Astyanax mexicanus: one gene and its partner. The protein of the gene in region 1 purifies or fractionates together with the protein of each later gene. This does not show direct contact. Links are inferred from orthologs where the notes say so. Each region holds a gene or a part of one and is shown in the gene's direction. Other genes may lie near its edges.

Evidence for each region. Proteins that work in one complex are often made in the same cells at the same time.
Region 2: the proteins of vapb (region 1) and vps13a purify together in Homo sapiens (affinity purification with mass spectrometry; 3 studies listed by BioGRID and IntAct, counting the BioPlex papers as one, with this or other methods). This does not show direct contact. The link is inferred for Astyanax mexicanus from reciprocal best matches to the Homo sapiens genes VAPB and VPS13A.

The regions. Positions count from the first base shown.
Region 1 is NC_064412.1:55,094,994-55,102,210, reverse strand, and holds the start of vapb (vesicle-associated membrane protein-associated protein B/C), read left to right. Parts: upstream 1-4,072; 5' UTR 4,073-4,353; coding exon 4,354-4,411; intron 4,412-7,217. UniProt on the Homo sapiens protein: Endoplasmic reticulum (ER)-anchored protein that mediates the formation of contact sites between the ER and endosomes via interaction with FFAT motif-containing proteins such as STARD3 or WDR44.
Region 2 is NC_064419.1:22,813,008-22,821,156, forward strand, and holds the start of vps13a (vacuolar protein sorting-associated protein 13A), read left to right. Parts: upstream 1-5,034; 5' UTR 5,035-5,169; coding exon 5,170-5,269; intron 5,270-8,149. Other genes in the region: E3 ubiquitin/ISG15 ligase TRIM25, read left to right, coding at 1-161, 352-447, 602-835, 938-1,082, 1,381-1,476, 2,044-2,576. UniProt on the Homo sapiens protein: Mediates the transfer of lipids between membranes at organelle contact sites. Binds phospholipids. Required for the formation or stabilization of ER-mitochondria contact sites which enable transfer of lipids between the ER and mitochondria.

The DNA.
Region 1 (7,217 bases):
TAACCAGCTCCTTACGAGCGGATCGAGTATGTTACACTTGATTTTGGCCATGCTCGTTGACCAGATCATGTGTGTAAACTATCTAAACTATCTAAGCTAAACTATCAAACTTGAGCTAAACTCAAACAAAAACATACTCTATGTTGGTTTTCAGCATGGATTAAACTCCAAAATGTAAAAGTATGGATGGTTAATAACATATCAGGATAGAAACTATAATATAATACACCCTTAAACCCAATATTTGTATTGTGGCATTATGTACAGTATGTGCCTTGGATGGTCTTGCGCTCCCCTCTTTATTAATATGAATGTTAAGCCTACACGTGGCTGTCTTGAAGCCACACTTTACAGTGACTTGCAAAAGTATTCAAACCCCTTGAACTTTTCCTTTTTGAACATTTTGCCCCCTTACAACCACAAACTTAAATGGATTTTATTGAGATTTTATTTGAAACGAAAATGATACACGGTTTTCATGATTTTTATCAAATTAAAAATCTGAAAAGTGACGTGCAAAAGTATTCAGCCCCCATATATCACTTAGTCTTCTTAATGGAGCCACTATTCGCTGCAGTTACAGCTATAAGTGCTTTGAGGTTTGTCTCTTCCAGCTTTGCATTTCTTCTTTATAAAACAGCTTAAGCTCAGCCAAGAATTTTAAAAAACATGTATCATTTTCGTTACACTTCACACTTATGGAATACTTTTTGTCTATCACTTAAAATCTCAATTAAAAAAAATACATTTGAGTTTGTGATTGTAAGATGACAAAATGTGGAAAAGTTCAAGGGGTATGAATACTTTTGCAAGCCACTGTATTCGTGCATCTAGATGGAGCTGTTGGCTCTGTGCACTGAATGTGTGAGAACTATTGGGCATTGTTCTTGTGGCAGAGCAGAGCTGTTTGGCCATTATCCCCTACAGTGATTAGTCAGGACCCGAGACTGAAGACCCAAATCAAATTACGTTATATTTAGTGAAATATATAAATACTACACCTTTCAGAAACTCGTAAAGTGGAATTTGAAGGATTGGAAGATTTAGGATTGTTCATTGTAATGAGAAACTTAACCTAATGAATTTATCTATTTGTATTTTGGTATTTGCAGATTTTATCTCCAAAGTAATCATTTATTCAGGGAAAGTGCTTTACTAAATGAAGATTGTATGGTACTTTTTGTGGTATGTGGTTATTATCCATTTATCCATTTAGCTTGGTTAGAATAAGAACACCATTCATTGTGATGTACAGTATATAAATATAACCACGGTTGTATAGGAGTAGCTTTATACGTATTTTTTTCTTTTTTATATTAATCTCACTCGATGTGTAACTGTCCAGATGTACTACCAGAAGCCTTGCACACAGCTCAGAATCACTTTGTTTTTGTTTTTTTTTACATTTTATATGTATTTTTTTCATTTTTCTTATCTCGTGCCATGTAAAAGCTTCTTAAAGTGTCTTTATAAAAGCAAAGTAAAAAAAGTTTCCATTTTATGTTAGGATGTGTTTATATGTGTATGTTACATTTAATTTGTTGTGGTATTAGCCTACGTTACAGAGCTTTACTCCTCAGCTGGAGCACACGTTCACATATTCACACATTCAGCGGAAGTTCTGTGGGTTTCAGTGGAATAGCATGTTACATTTAGAGTGGGAAGTTTGATTCTTCACTTCCCTTCAGCAGTCTAGAATGAATTAATTTCATGTTACTGAAAATGCCAACAGTCTTGGGCTGGTCCTGAGAATGTGTTGTGAAGTTCTGATGTATTTGGGTTTTTTTTTTGTGTATTGTTACCATGGGGGCATGTTAAATGAATGAATTTGGTCATCTTCAATGGTGTTCACACACAATGTAGTTTACATATATTTACCTTGTATTGCAATATTTACACAACGCACTAATTTAACCCATTGCATTTTAATCAGTTACTGTATAGTTAAAGAGGTTTATTTTTTTTCTTTCTTCGCTTGATTGCAAACAACATTGCTTGTAATAAAGGGATGTTCTGAGCTGTTTAATAGTAATAAAATGGCACAGAAACAGAAACTGCTCCGTGTGAGTTTTGTTTGTGCTATAAAGGAGAGCACACCTTAAAAGTTTACACACTGAGCTCAGTATAAAAAGTGTTCTAACTGGTGTGAAAAGGTGTTTGTACCCCTTTTTTTAATTTAATTTATAAATTTTTGCACGTTTTGGGTCATCAAACTAATCTAAATATTAGTCAAAAACCCTATCCGGACGGGATTCGTTTCTTAGAGGGTCCTGGGGTAATTTTCTCCCTTATGGGGGTACACTGTGATTTTAATCCCGTCCAGAACGACCATGTATGTGTTTTTCTCAGGTGTCCTCTGAAAAAAATTACCTGGTCCTCCAGTAATTTTAGTCCTGTCCAGACTCATATCTCTGAGTTTCGTCTCCTTGCGTTTAATAAAATAGCTACTAATAAAATAGCTAATAACAGGAGGCCACAAAAACATATCTTCCCACAAGTCAGTGCAATATTTCTTAGCTTCAATGGGACATGGCAAAAGTCATGGGATATGATACTAGTTTCTGTGTAATGACACGTGGCATGTTAGTGTATTAATCACTTCATTACACAAACAAGGTTTTGATACAGCTATTAGGTGTAAAATTACAGCTCAATTTATTCATGCACAATTTGTATTTGTATATTTGGACGGTCATTAATCTAACCTCTCATCAAGGGCCACTTTCTGACCACTGGACACTATTGGCTGGGTATTTCTGGTTTGCCAACTATTCTTAACCCAGCAGTGACACTGAGGTGCTTAGCACTCTAGCAATGCTGGTGACACTAATACACTCAAACACAGCCTACAATATACTGCTATCCTGATGTTAATACACTGCATGAACAAAAGTGTTGGCCCACCTGATCATTCATTGTTTCTTTCAATAGAATCGCTATGATGATTTGATTGCATTCAGCAGAAAGAACATTAGTGAGATCAGGATATTGGATGATCACCACCTCATCTGTAACTTCCAGCCAAGTTCCATTGATGCAACTCCATCAATCCAGAGAACACAGATCCACTGCTCCACAGCTTAATGTAGAGGAGCTTTATATCCCTCTACGCCAGGCATGGCATTAGGCATGGTGCCAATACATGTATGTTTATCTGCTGCTGAGAATCCCCTTCAAATAAGCAATACTTCTTTATAGAGACTGGACAATCTGTTTTAGAAATGGTTGCAAATGGTGCAAAATTAATGCAACACTGGATTGAATTAAATCTTGTGACATCGCAGAAGCTACCACAGCGTATGCATGTCACAATCAAACCTAAAGGCGGTCCAACAACAATGACAAAAAAGGTTACACACACCTATATTTCGTTGGACAGCCTTTAGCTTTGATTGCGGCATGCATTCGCTTTTGCGTCGTATCGATAATCTCTCTTCTGCAATGTCACAAGATTATTTTCAATACAGTGTTGCATTAATTTATCACCAAGATCTTGCAGCAGCATTGATGATGCAGTTTGGCATTGTCATCTTGGAATATTGCCGTGTGTATCATCAGGGAAGAAAAAATCTTCCATTGATGGAATAACCTGGTCTGGAATATTCAGCATATATTCAGGTAGCAGTCAGCTGACATCATTCTTTCAGCACAAACTGTTGCTGAACCCAGACCTGCAGACCAACTGCAGCAGCATCAACCATCAACCCCACATCATTTACTTACATAAATCCAGGTGGTGACTTATTTACTTATAATTTTTTTGACCAGGCAGTGTAGTTGACTTGACTTGACTTTTTGTATTGATCCTAATGTAATGTAATGCAATGTGATGTATTGCCTCGTGCACACTCTTAAGTGGCAAAAACATTCTGATAACCTGATGCCTGGGCCCTGTAACAGTGTCAGATTAATGACGGACACCCTTGTACACAGGGGTTTAAATGTCTGAGGCTAAGATAAGATATCCCATATAGGTTACCACCACCATTCCCCACTCTGGCATCACATCAGCCGCTGAGTGGCTGCTGGTGCAGGCGGCGTGACGTCACTCCCAGCCAGCCTCGCTCTCTCCCTCTCTCTCTCTCCCTCAGCCCGCTTTCCTGCTGCATCACAACATAGGGTAGCTAACCTAGCAGCAGCGCCCTGAACTCACTGTTTTTCAGCAGGACAGCTAGTTTTATTCAACCGGACGTGGCTTAAAAATATCGTCGGTTTCTGTAGTTATAAACCCGGCTAGCGTTAGCGAGTTATTAGCGCTGTGTGCGCAGGCAGCGAGTGAATAGTAGAGAGTCTGCGAGGGCTGCTGGTTCGTGTGTGTGTGTCTTTCAGTAGCGCCGTCCGAATCGCTGGGATATGGCCAGGCCGGAGCAGGTCCTGCTTCTGGAACCTCAACACGAGCTCAAATTCCGGGGTAAGACGCCCGCCCGGGCTGGGTGGGGGGCTGTGCAGGCGCGGGGCAGCACGCAGGGCTTCGTGTGTTTTGAAGGGGGCGAGGTAGGGTGGGTATTTTTGGGTGGGAGGGGGGTACTGCGAGATGGCGTTCATGATAGGCCTCGGTCCTGTAACGGTACAAGCTAGCTAGATAGCTAGCCGGCTAGGTTAGCTTAGTGGATGGCGAGCTGTGTTGTTTAGCTAACTTAGCTAATAGCTAACGTTAGGTTAGCTTGCTTGCTAGGTTGACATCCAGCGCCCCAACGCCCTTCACTTCACTTCAGTTCAGTAACGTTACAGTAACAGGAGAATGAGGAATAGACAGCTTGCTGTGGAGAGCTTAACCTGCAGCAGCTAACGTTATCTCAGCTAACCTAATGCTAATAAATTGTTAAGTTAGTTAGCTAACGTTAGCTTGTATAGGTTAGCTATAGCTGTAGTTGTGTGTGTAACAGTTGAGTTATATATTTATTTATAATGGAGCAGGTTTGACTAGACAGCTGGTGTTACTATCTTAGATAGTTTTAACTAACCCTGGCAAACTAGGCCTCTCCATCCACTCAAACGTATGAACTCAGTCAGTTTAGTCTTTCAGTAATAAAACTGAATAAAATAATCCATACCTGCCTATGTTAGCTAGCTAGCTAGCTAGGCTTTCAGGGCCTGTGCCTGGTTGCATTAGCTAATTTAGTTGTTTCCATTAAGAATGCCCTTAACAATTCCTTAAAGGTAAGTGTGTTGCAAAAAAAATGCCTTAAGCTAAGCGTTATCTAAGTATTTTCTTTAGGGAAACCCTTAAATGTTCCCTTAAATATTGATGCTTAATAATTCATGTAATCTTACATAAACTCTCTTAATGCTCTATTCTCTGAAAAGTTGTTTAATGGACCCCAAACCTCACCTAGGCTTGTCACAATAAGATTTTATTGATTAATATCAAACATCAGTAAGGAGAATGAGGGATAGACCGGCTAGTTATGTTAACCTAGCTAGCTAATCTAGATTGTTGGATATGTAACCAACTGGTTTATATATGTTAGCTAGCTATAGTTGTGTGTATTTACGAGGCTGAAGTTGGTTTGATATTCGCAGCTCCAGATTCGTTTGGCTCGATATTCGCAGCCTCGTATTCCCCGGCTGAAGTTGGTTTGATATTCGCAGCTGCAGCTTCACTGAACCACCGTGAACTAAAGGGAGCGTTCACAAACACCCGCTGTTTATATTAAACACCTCACAGATCAACACTGAAGGAGATAGAATGAAGAAAAGCAGTACAGCTGTTTATTAACAATGTAAATATACAATATCTTATTAAATGTAATTTTATATACACGACCTTCCATCACTTATTTTCTCCAGTTTTACTTACAACATGAATTTGCTGTTCTAGTGTAATTCATTCATTTCCTGAGTCAAAAATATCTGAAATAGAGATTTAGCCTCCTACTTTCAAGAAAACCTGGCATTATCCTGTCCGGAGCCAATTGTATATTGTAAAATATTTAATTACTGAATTTATAATTATATATTATAATAAATAATAAAAATATATATTTAATGAAATTATATTTTAAAAGCCATTGCTCTCAAAAAATATAAGGCAGATGTTCAAGTGTGATTTTGAAGAACTTTTTCATGTTGGGCCAGAACAAATACACATGATCTGAAGAGTTCTATTCTTCTAATTTAAGGAAAACCTGGAATTAGCCTGGCCCGAGCTGATTTTATACTTTAAAATGAACTGGCAACATGGAATACCGATCCATAATGCACAAAAAAATTGAATATAAAGCTGATGTTCCAGTGTGATTTTGAAAGACTTTTTTAATCTTGGGCCAGACCAAATACACATCATCTGAAGAGTACTAGTCTTCTACTTTAAGGAAAACCTGGAATTAGCCTGGCCCGAGCTGATTTTATACTTTAAAATGAACTGGCAACATGGAATACCGATCCATAATGCACAAAAAAATTGAATATAAAGCTGATGTTCTAGTGTGATTTTGAAGGACTTTTTAATCTTGGGCCAGACCAAATACACATGATCTAAAGAGTACTAGTCTTCTACTTTAAGGAAAACCTGGAATTAGCCTGGCCCGAGCAGATTTTATACTTTAAAATGAACTGGCAACATGGTATAACGAGCCATTTTGCACAAAAAAGCCACTGTTCCAGTACAATTTTGAAGAACTTTTTCATCTTGGGCCAGAACAAATACACATCATCTGAAGAGTACTGGTCTTCTACTTTAAGGAAAACCTGGAATTAGCCTGGCCCGAGCTGATTTTATACTTTAAAATGAACTGGAAACATGGAATACCGATCCATAAAGCACAATTTTTTTTATGTAAAGCTGATGTTCCAGTGTGATTTTGAAGGACTTTTTCATCTTGGGCCAGAACAAATACACAAGATCTGAAGAGTACTAGTCTTCTACTTTAAGGAAAACCTGGAATTAGCCTGGCCCGAGCTGATTTTATACTTTAAAATGAACTGGCAACATGGAATACCGATCCATAATGCACAAAAAAAACTTAATATAAAGCTGATGTTCCAGTGTGATTTTGAAAGAATTTTTAATCTTGGGCCAGAACAAATACACATCATCTGAAGAGTACTAGTCTTCTACTTTAAGGAAAACCTGGAATTAGCCTGGCCCGAGCTGATTTTATACTTTAAAATGAAACTGGCAACATGGAATAACGATCCATAATGCACAAAAAAATTGAATATAAAGCTGATGTTCTAGTGTGATTTTGAAGGACTTTTTAATCTTGGGCCAGAAC
Region 2 (8,149 bases), on another chromosome or scaffold:
AAGCCTCTATGAACCTGCAGGAGAAGATCTGCTCTCTTCATGATAAACTACTGGAGGTTTTCTGTCACACTGATCAGCAGTGTATATGTCTTCTGTGTGTGATGGACGAACACAGGGGTCATAAGACAGTCTCAGCTGCAGCAGAAAGAGCTCAGAAACAGGTAAGAACTTTACTGTCAGTCCTGCCATAACATAACGCTTATTCCAAATGTGAAGCAGCTCAGTGAACGAAATTTAGTTAGCTGAAATAAACACAGTAAAAGACACGGATATTCACAACTGACTCACTATGTGTGTATTATGTGACTGTTTGTGTGGTGACTCGTGAATGTTGTTGGATTTGGTCTACAGAAACAGCTGGTGCAAACTCAGAGGGAATCCCAGCAGAGAATCCAGCAGAAGGAGAAGAAACTGCAGGAGCTGAGACAGACTATGGAGACTCTCAGGGTGAGTATACTGAGCACAGGAGGAGACATTTCAGCTCTCAGTCAGAGTCCAGTGTTGGCTCACTTTCCACCTCCACTGAGCTCCACTGTGGGAAAGTAGCAGGTGAAAGAGCTGCTTCAGATGAAGCCCCTCCTCTCTGTGTGTCTCCTAACAGCGCTCTGCACAGGCAGCAGTGGAGGACAGTGAGAAGATCTTTACTGAACTGATTCAGTTCATGGAGAGAAGACGCTCTGAGGTGAAAGAGCTGATCAGAGCTCAGGAGAAGACTGAACTGAGTCTGGCTGAAGATCTCCTGAAGAAACTGGAGCAGGAGATTGCTGATCTGAGGAGGAGAGACGCTGAGCTGGAGAAGCTTCTACACTCAGAGGATCCCATCGATTTCCTCCAGGTAACATCTCTGACTCTCTGATCATCTACAGTAACACTACAGAGCTACAAGTGTCCCTCACAAAGTCTATTCATCTGTATGTGTTTCTTCATCTCTCTGCAGAGTTTCCAGTCTCTCTCAGCTCCTCCTCAATCTGCAGACTTACCCCAAATCCCAGTCAGTCACCAATTCTCCATGGAGGAACTGAAGAAAGCTGCGACTGGAGTGATGGAACGAATGGAATCGAAACTGGTCAGGTTTTCTGGAGGTATAAAGAATTATGTGAGAAGATGGATCTTTAAGAAAGTCTAAGAAAGAGAATTTAATGTGATAACATGCGTTGGTAGATTTTGAAAGATCAGAAGACTGGCAGAAACTTTAGAGGGGAAAACTGTAGTTTTACTGCATCTTCATTTCCATTATTCCAAACTAAATATTCAGATCAAACACTTGTTTTCTCATCAGAGCTTTTAAAATTTTGCTTATTCACCTGTTTCACACTGATTCTACATCCAAGCATCATTTTTGATTTATTGCTGCTATCTAAGGTGTTCTGTCATTTTCAGGGTTCATTTCTTCGTCCATGACGGCTGCTCCTCTTCAGAAATCGGAACAGCTCCTTCAGTCTCCTGAACCAAAGACCAGAGAGGACTTCCTGAAATGTGAGAATCACACACTTACTCAACCATACACACACATCTACACTCAAAACTGGACTCTTGATTCCCTTCTCCAGTTTCTACAGAAGCTCTTCAGAGTCAGTGTAGACCATCTACATGCTGCTCAAACCATAATCACACAATACTGCAGTTCTCCTCCTCACACTGTGATTTATCTTCATTTTCAGAATGAATTAAATATCTGTGAGACGCTTCTTCAACAGAGATATCATGGTTTTATTATCAGACATTTCATTTGGTGCTAATAGTTGCAGTAGTGGCAGCTGTAGACTACAGTCAGACTCAGATCATTCATTTTATCAGCACTTTAGTGAAAGAGCGTCCTCTGCTGGACACTGAGTTTTAGATTTAGAGAGAGTCGACCACACACTCCTCACACTGACCTCACATTCACATGAACAGATTTACAGAATGTAGAACATCTGAATTTACATTTATACACACTTTAATTGGTGTGTGAGTGATTGAATTATGATATGTAAATTAAAGTTAGAATTAACAAAAGTTTCTAAGAAACATTATTAATTTTCCTTTTCTCTCCTCCATCAGACACCTGTCAGCTCACTCTGGATCCAAACACAGCCCACACACAAATCGCTCTGTCTGAGAGGAACAGAAAAGCTACTCTGATGCCCCAGAAACAACAATATCCTTACCATCCAGAGAGATTTGATAGCGTTCACCAAGTTCTCTGCAGAGAAAGTCTGCCTGGACGCTGTTACTGGGAGGTGGAGTTTAACATGAATTATGTTCATATTGCCGTCTGTTATAAAAACATCAGCAGGAAAGGAGGAGATTATAAGTCTGGATTTGGGTTCAATGATCAGTCCTGGAGTCTGAACAGCTGGTACTCCAGTTTCTCTTTCAGACACAATAATAAAGAGACTAAACTCCCTGTAGTCTCCAGATCCTACAGAATAGGAGTGTATGTGGATCACAGTGCAGGAATTCTGTCCTTCTACAGCATCTCTGACACAATGACCCTCCTCCACAGAGTCCACACCACCTTCACTCAGCCCCTCTATCCTGGATTTTGGTTTTATGATTTTGGTAATGTTCTTCAGATATGTGATCTTAATTAAACTTCAGTTAGAAGCTGATCATGTGATCATCTACAGTCTTATAGGGAGTCTAGTAAAATGCAGTCTAGCCTCTGACAGGCTGTTAGAAACAACATGTAATACAGCTGCTTTAAGTCTGTCCTGTGTGTTCTATACATTATAGAATGTGTACTTTCATGGAACAGATTTAAAATGTCTTTTCCACTGTGAATTTCAGTCTTTATAGCAAATTGAATAAACTCAACATTTGATTTCAATCACAATATTTAGATTATGGTTTTAATTTGTCAGAACATAAAAAATAATTTTGCTTTTAAATCTAGTCAAATTATTGGTCAGTATAATTCTGGCAAGATAAAACGATTGGAAAAAAATGTACTCAATTAACAATGAAAAAACAGTAGCTTCATCCTTTCAGAAAAACAGTCAATAACAACTTTCTCTCCACTCTGTCTGCAATAGCACAGAGAGTCAAATACCTGCATAAAATGTATTTTTGGCTTGTCAGTCACTAGAGGATGCTCCCAAGTTAGTTCAAAACAAATTAATTGGTTTCTGTGGAGCAAATGAGCAAAATCATAGTTTATCAATGTTTGATCATTTTTATATTTAAAAAAGGTTTTTATTTTCTCCTCACAGAACAGTGTCAAATGTTTCAGAAGTAACACCAATTAAAAGCCTTTAAACAAGCACAGAGTAGCAGTAATTCTAGTGTCTTTGTTAAAAACCTGTTTGCTGTACAAAAATATATTGTGTATCAGTATATAATATATTGATCAATTTTGCTTTTCTAAAAAAATACTTCATTCTGTGGCACTGCTGAGATGTAATGTATAAAATAATAATCACAATCAATAATCTATTTCTTGATGACTGCTACAGTGTATATTGAGCCAAATTTAAGCTTAAAAATCTTAAGCTTTGTTATAATTGCATAATTCACCTCTGAACAGCGACAGGGCTAGCGCTTAACGCGGGTAGTGGCTAATGCTACTTCTGCTCCAGCTGTGCTAGCCGGAGTTAGGAGCAGTCTACAGTTCGATAATAAACACCTCTGAACGTCAAAAGAGCTAGTGGTTAGTGTGGATAGCGGCTAATGCTAATACTGCTCCAGTCTCGAGTCTCTGTGCTGGAGAACTAAACTAAAACTCCTGTATAAAGCTGCACTTCAGCAGAGTGGCTTTACTGCCCCTTACAACCTGAATTGTAAGCATAAATATAATTCATACATAAGATGTACCAGATTGTAAGGAGAACTGAGGATTTTTGGGGAAAATTAAAGATTTTAAGTGCCTTAGTGTGAGAAATACAGTAGCTACCAAAGACAGCGAACTTTAACTTGGAATATTTTTACTAAACCTACAGTTTTTGTACATTTAGTGCATTTAACAGATATAGTGCAATCTAATCAATATAATTTAATCATAAATTAAGGTTTAATGTCATCGCTAATGTTTCTCACACAGGCAAAACAAATTCAAGGTAACATTGTTTGTACGAGTTGTCAGTTCACATTATGTTCTCTTATTTTTCATTCATAATGTGTTCACTGTGTAAATACAGCATGTTTGAGGAGGCAACGGTCATGTTTGTTTTGCAGATTTAATACAGCATCTGTGAAACAGAAGCTACAGGAGCGTAATTGAGTCATGGCTTGCAGCGTTCTCAATTGGACTCCAAGTAGTACAATAACAGCCCTCAAACCCACGGCCTTAACTAGCCCTTTTTTAGGAGTGCTCAGTATCCCTGTATTAAGTTCTAGCACTGCTAAAAGTGAATTTATTATCTTTTTCTGATCAGCTAAAACAAATGTTTAAAACTTCCCTGCTGGCACACAACCGATCTTCAATATTGAAATGTGGTTAAAATATGACTAAAGTAATGTCTGTTGTTGTTTCAACGTTGAAACAACGTTCAATGGTTGTGCTAACGTTTAAATTTTAACGTTGAAACAACGTGTAGTGTTCAATGGTTGTGCTATCGTTGAAATTTTAACGTACGATTATTGTTCAATGGTTGTGCTAACGTTGAAATTTAAACGTTGAATCAGTGTTTAATGTTCAATGGTTGTGCTAATGTTGAAATTTTAACATTGAATCAACATAATGTCTTCAACCTTCTGCCTTTTGAATCAGCCTTTTACATTTCATCACCATATAATTTGAAAAAAAAGTGTTTTAATTCTATTTTTTTAGGGGGTTATTTCAACCATTTCTCATTTTCTGCAAATAAATGCTCTAAATGACACAATTTTTGATTTGGAATTTGGGAGAAAATTGTCCGTAGTTTATGGAATAAAACAACGATGTTTATTTTACTCAAATATACCTATAAATAGCAAAATCAGAGAAGCTGATTCAAAAACTGAAGTGGCCTTTTATTTTTTTCACACACACATTTTTTTTTCTGGTACCCGTGTCAGCCTTTGGGGGTCGCTGTTGTACTCTGTTAATGACGTGTTGTGTGTGTGTGTAATAACGTGGTCCCTCCCAGCGTGAAGATCTCCTGTAATGTTTATTTCAGGAAACCTCACCGACTGACACCCAGTCCGCGGGCCCGCAGAGCTCGAACCGAGGGGAGAGAAATGTGGCTGCGCTGCTGAACCGGAAGAAACATGGTGTTCGAGTCTCTGGTGGTGGACGTGCTGAACCGCTTTCTGGGGGACTACGTGGTGAACCTCGACAGCTCGCAGCTGAACCTGGGCATATGGGGAGGTGAGGGCGCTGACAGCGGACAGCGGTGGGCGCTGCTGGGACGGGCAGCACGGCTGCTGGTGTCTGTCCTTCAGGGCTAACGTTAGCTAGGTTAACTAGCTTTACTCAAACAGCAGGGCTGAGAAATGTGCTCAGGGAGGTTTCTGACGGGCTGTGGTTCAGTGGGGGATTAACTGACACACTTCAGGAATTCTAATTCCTTGTTTGGTCACGTTTAGCTAGGTTAAGTAAGTAGTTAGCTGGCTAGCCTTAACTATCTAAATGGGAACTTCAGCACAACGTTTCTGCTTAACTAAATGATATAACCTTGTTGCTATTGAAATTAGCTTTGTAGTTAGCTATCTAGCTAGGTTAGCTAACTAGCAGAGGAATGAAGTAGTTAGGTTAGTGTGTATTTAGCGTTAATTGCAGTCATTACAGTAAAGTAAAAGCACATTAGCCTGGCTACTATAAGATCCCATTTGTCTCTCTCTCACGTGGTTGTGGTTATCTGAACTGGTTTCACACCCTCTGCAAGAAGCCTGGGTGTGAAGAAAAAGCCCAAGCTCTGCTTTATCCTCAAAACCTGACTACGGTTTTCAAACTATTCCAGGCTTTCTGACACTGCTGTCAACCTCCAGAGGTGTAAACATAGCTTAGCTTCCTCTAAAAGGCTGATCTCTGTCTTTCTGATAACTGATATCATAACAAAAATCATACATTTACACTAAGTGTTTTAACCAAACCTCAATTTAAAAGTAAACAGCCATTAATCTTGAGTGAGAATCTTAATCAGATTACTGCAAGCTTTTTTCAGCAGCAAACTGTGGCTAGATTACTAGATATAAGGGTAACGTTATTCCTTATGCAGCACAACACCGTAGAAACAGAAAAATGCATGAATTGGGGGAATTTAATACAGATTCTTTAAGATATCTATGTCTTTTAGTGCATGAAAGAAATATAAACAATGTTATCCAGTCCAATGTTATCCAATCTTAGCTAAGCTTCTCAAAAAGGCTGATTTTCTGTGTTTATGATATCATAACAAACTTAATATCAATTCTGTGTGTTTAACCAAACCTCAGTTTAAAAGTAAACATTCAATAACTTTGAAGGAGAATCATAATCAGCTTACTGAAATCATTTTTCAGCAGCAAACTGTTAGCTAAGCTTCCCAAAAAGGTTGATTTTCTGTGTTTTTTGATATCATAACAAACTCAATATATTGGACAAAACATCTCAATTCACAGTGAGTGTTTAACCCAACCTCAGATTAACAGGAAACAGCCATTAATCTCGAGTGAGAATCTTAATCAGATTACTGCAATCTTTTTCCAGCAGCAAACTGTGGCTAGATTACTAGATATAAGGGTGTTCTTTAGGCAAACTGTAGAAACTGAAAGACGGAGAAATTTGGGCATTTTAACAGATTTTCTTAAAGCTATCAGCATATTTTAGGGAATGAAAGAAATATAAACAGTGCTATCCATTCTTAGCTAAGCTTCTCAAAAAGGTTTTTTTTTTTTTGTGTTTATGATATTATAACAAACTCAATATATTGTACAAAACATCTCAATTCACAGTGAGTGTTTAACCCAACCTCAGATTAACAGGAAACAGCCATTAATCTTGAGTGAGAATCAGAATACTGCAATCTTTTTCCAGCAGCGAACTGTGGCTAGATTACTAGATATGAGGGTGTTTTTTATGCAAAGCACTGTAGAAACAAAAAAAATCATGAAATTGTGTATTTAACACAGATTATTTAAGATATTTGTGTATTTTAGTGGATGAGAGAAGTGTAAACAATGTTTTTTAAACCAGTGTTATCCAATCTTAGCTAAGGTTTTTAAAAAAAGGCTGAACCAAACCTCAGTTTAAAAGTTAACATCCAATAATTCTGAATGAGAATAATTTTTTTAGCACTAAACTGTGGCTAATTGTAGGCAAAGCACTATAAAAACAGAAAAAAAGCATTTTGGGTATTTTAACAACTCTTCTTCAAACTATCTTTGTAGTATAGTAATTGAGAGAAATGTAAACAGTAAGGGTGTCACGATTCTCTAAATCCTCAATTTGATTTTATTTCCGATTTTAGGGTCACAATTCGATTTGATTCTCGATTTTCTTTTTTTTTTTTTTTTACAGCAGAGAGGCTTATTTCAAAAGGTGGGCTTGATTAAATTAACTCTGGCTCTGGAAAGACAAAGCTGAAAGCACTCTATAGTGCTATATATTTACAAATGGGGCTGAATCTTAGAAAAAAAAGTTCTTTGAGATTTAGAGCTGCAGGTAGCCAGGTAGTGTTCTCCACTGCAGTGCTGTTAGCCAATCAGAGGGGATATGTTTGCATTTCTGAATATTCATTAGCAAGAGCAGAAATCTTGTCTTTTTTCAGACACCGCCAATGTTATACAGAAACACCGGATCACTTTTTTTCACGAAAAATGGCCCTTGTGGCATTCACTCATACTAGAGCCCACAACTAGACATTTAAAAATGAATAAAAAAGGAACTTTAAAATACTGTTTAGTCCAAAAGTAGGCCTAACCCCTGTAAGGGAAACAGACTCTAAGTGTCTTAGCATTTCAGTGTTAAGTGTGTTAAGAGAGAGAGTATTCAATGTGATGTTTTCTCAGCTCAGGTTTTGTATGAAAGACCCCCATTGACTCTAATGGTGGTGGGGTGTGGAACAAGAACTAAAAATGTCTATAGCTGGAATAGAGCCTAGTCAGATATCACCAATCCAGAACTGCCAATTAATTTGCAAGTGTGATCTGAGTTTTTATACAGCTGAGTTTTATATAGTGGCGAGATAAAATACGAGATAAAAATGTTCCTTGCAAATTTAAATGCAAATTCAGTCATGATGAACGAAATGAATGAGCCAGCCCAAAA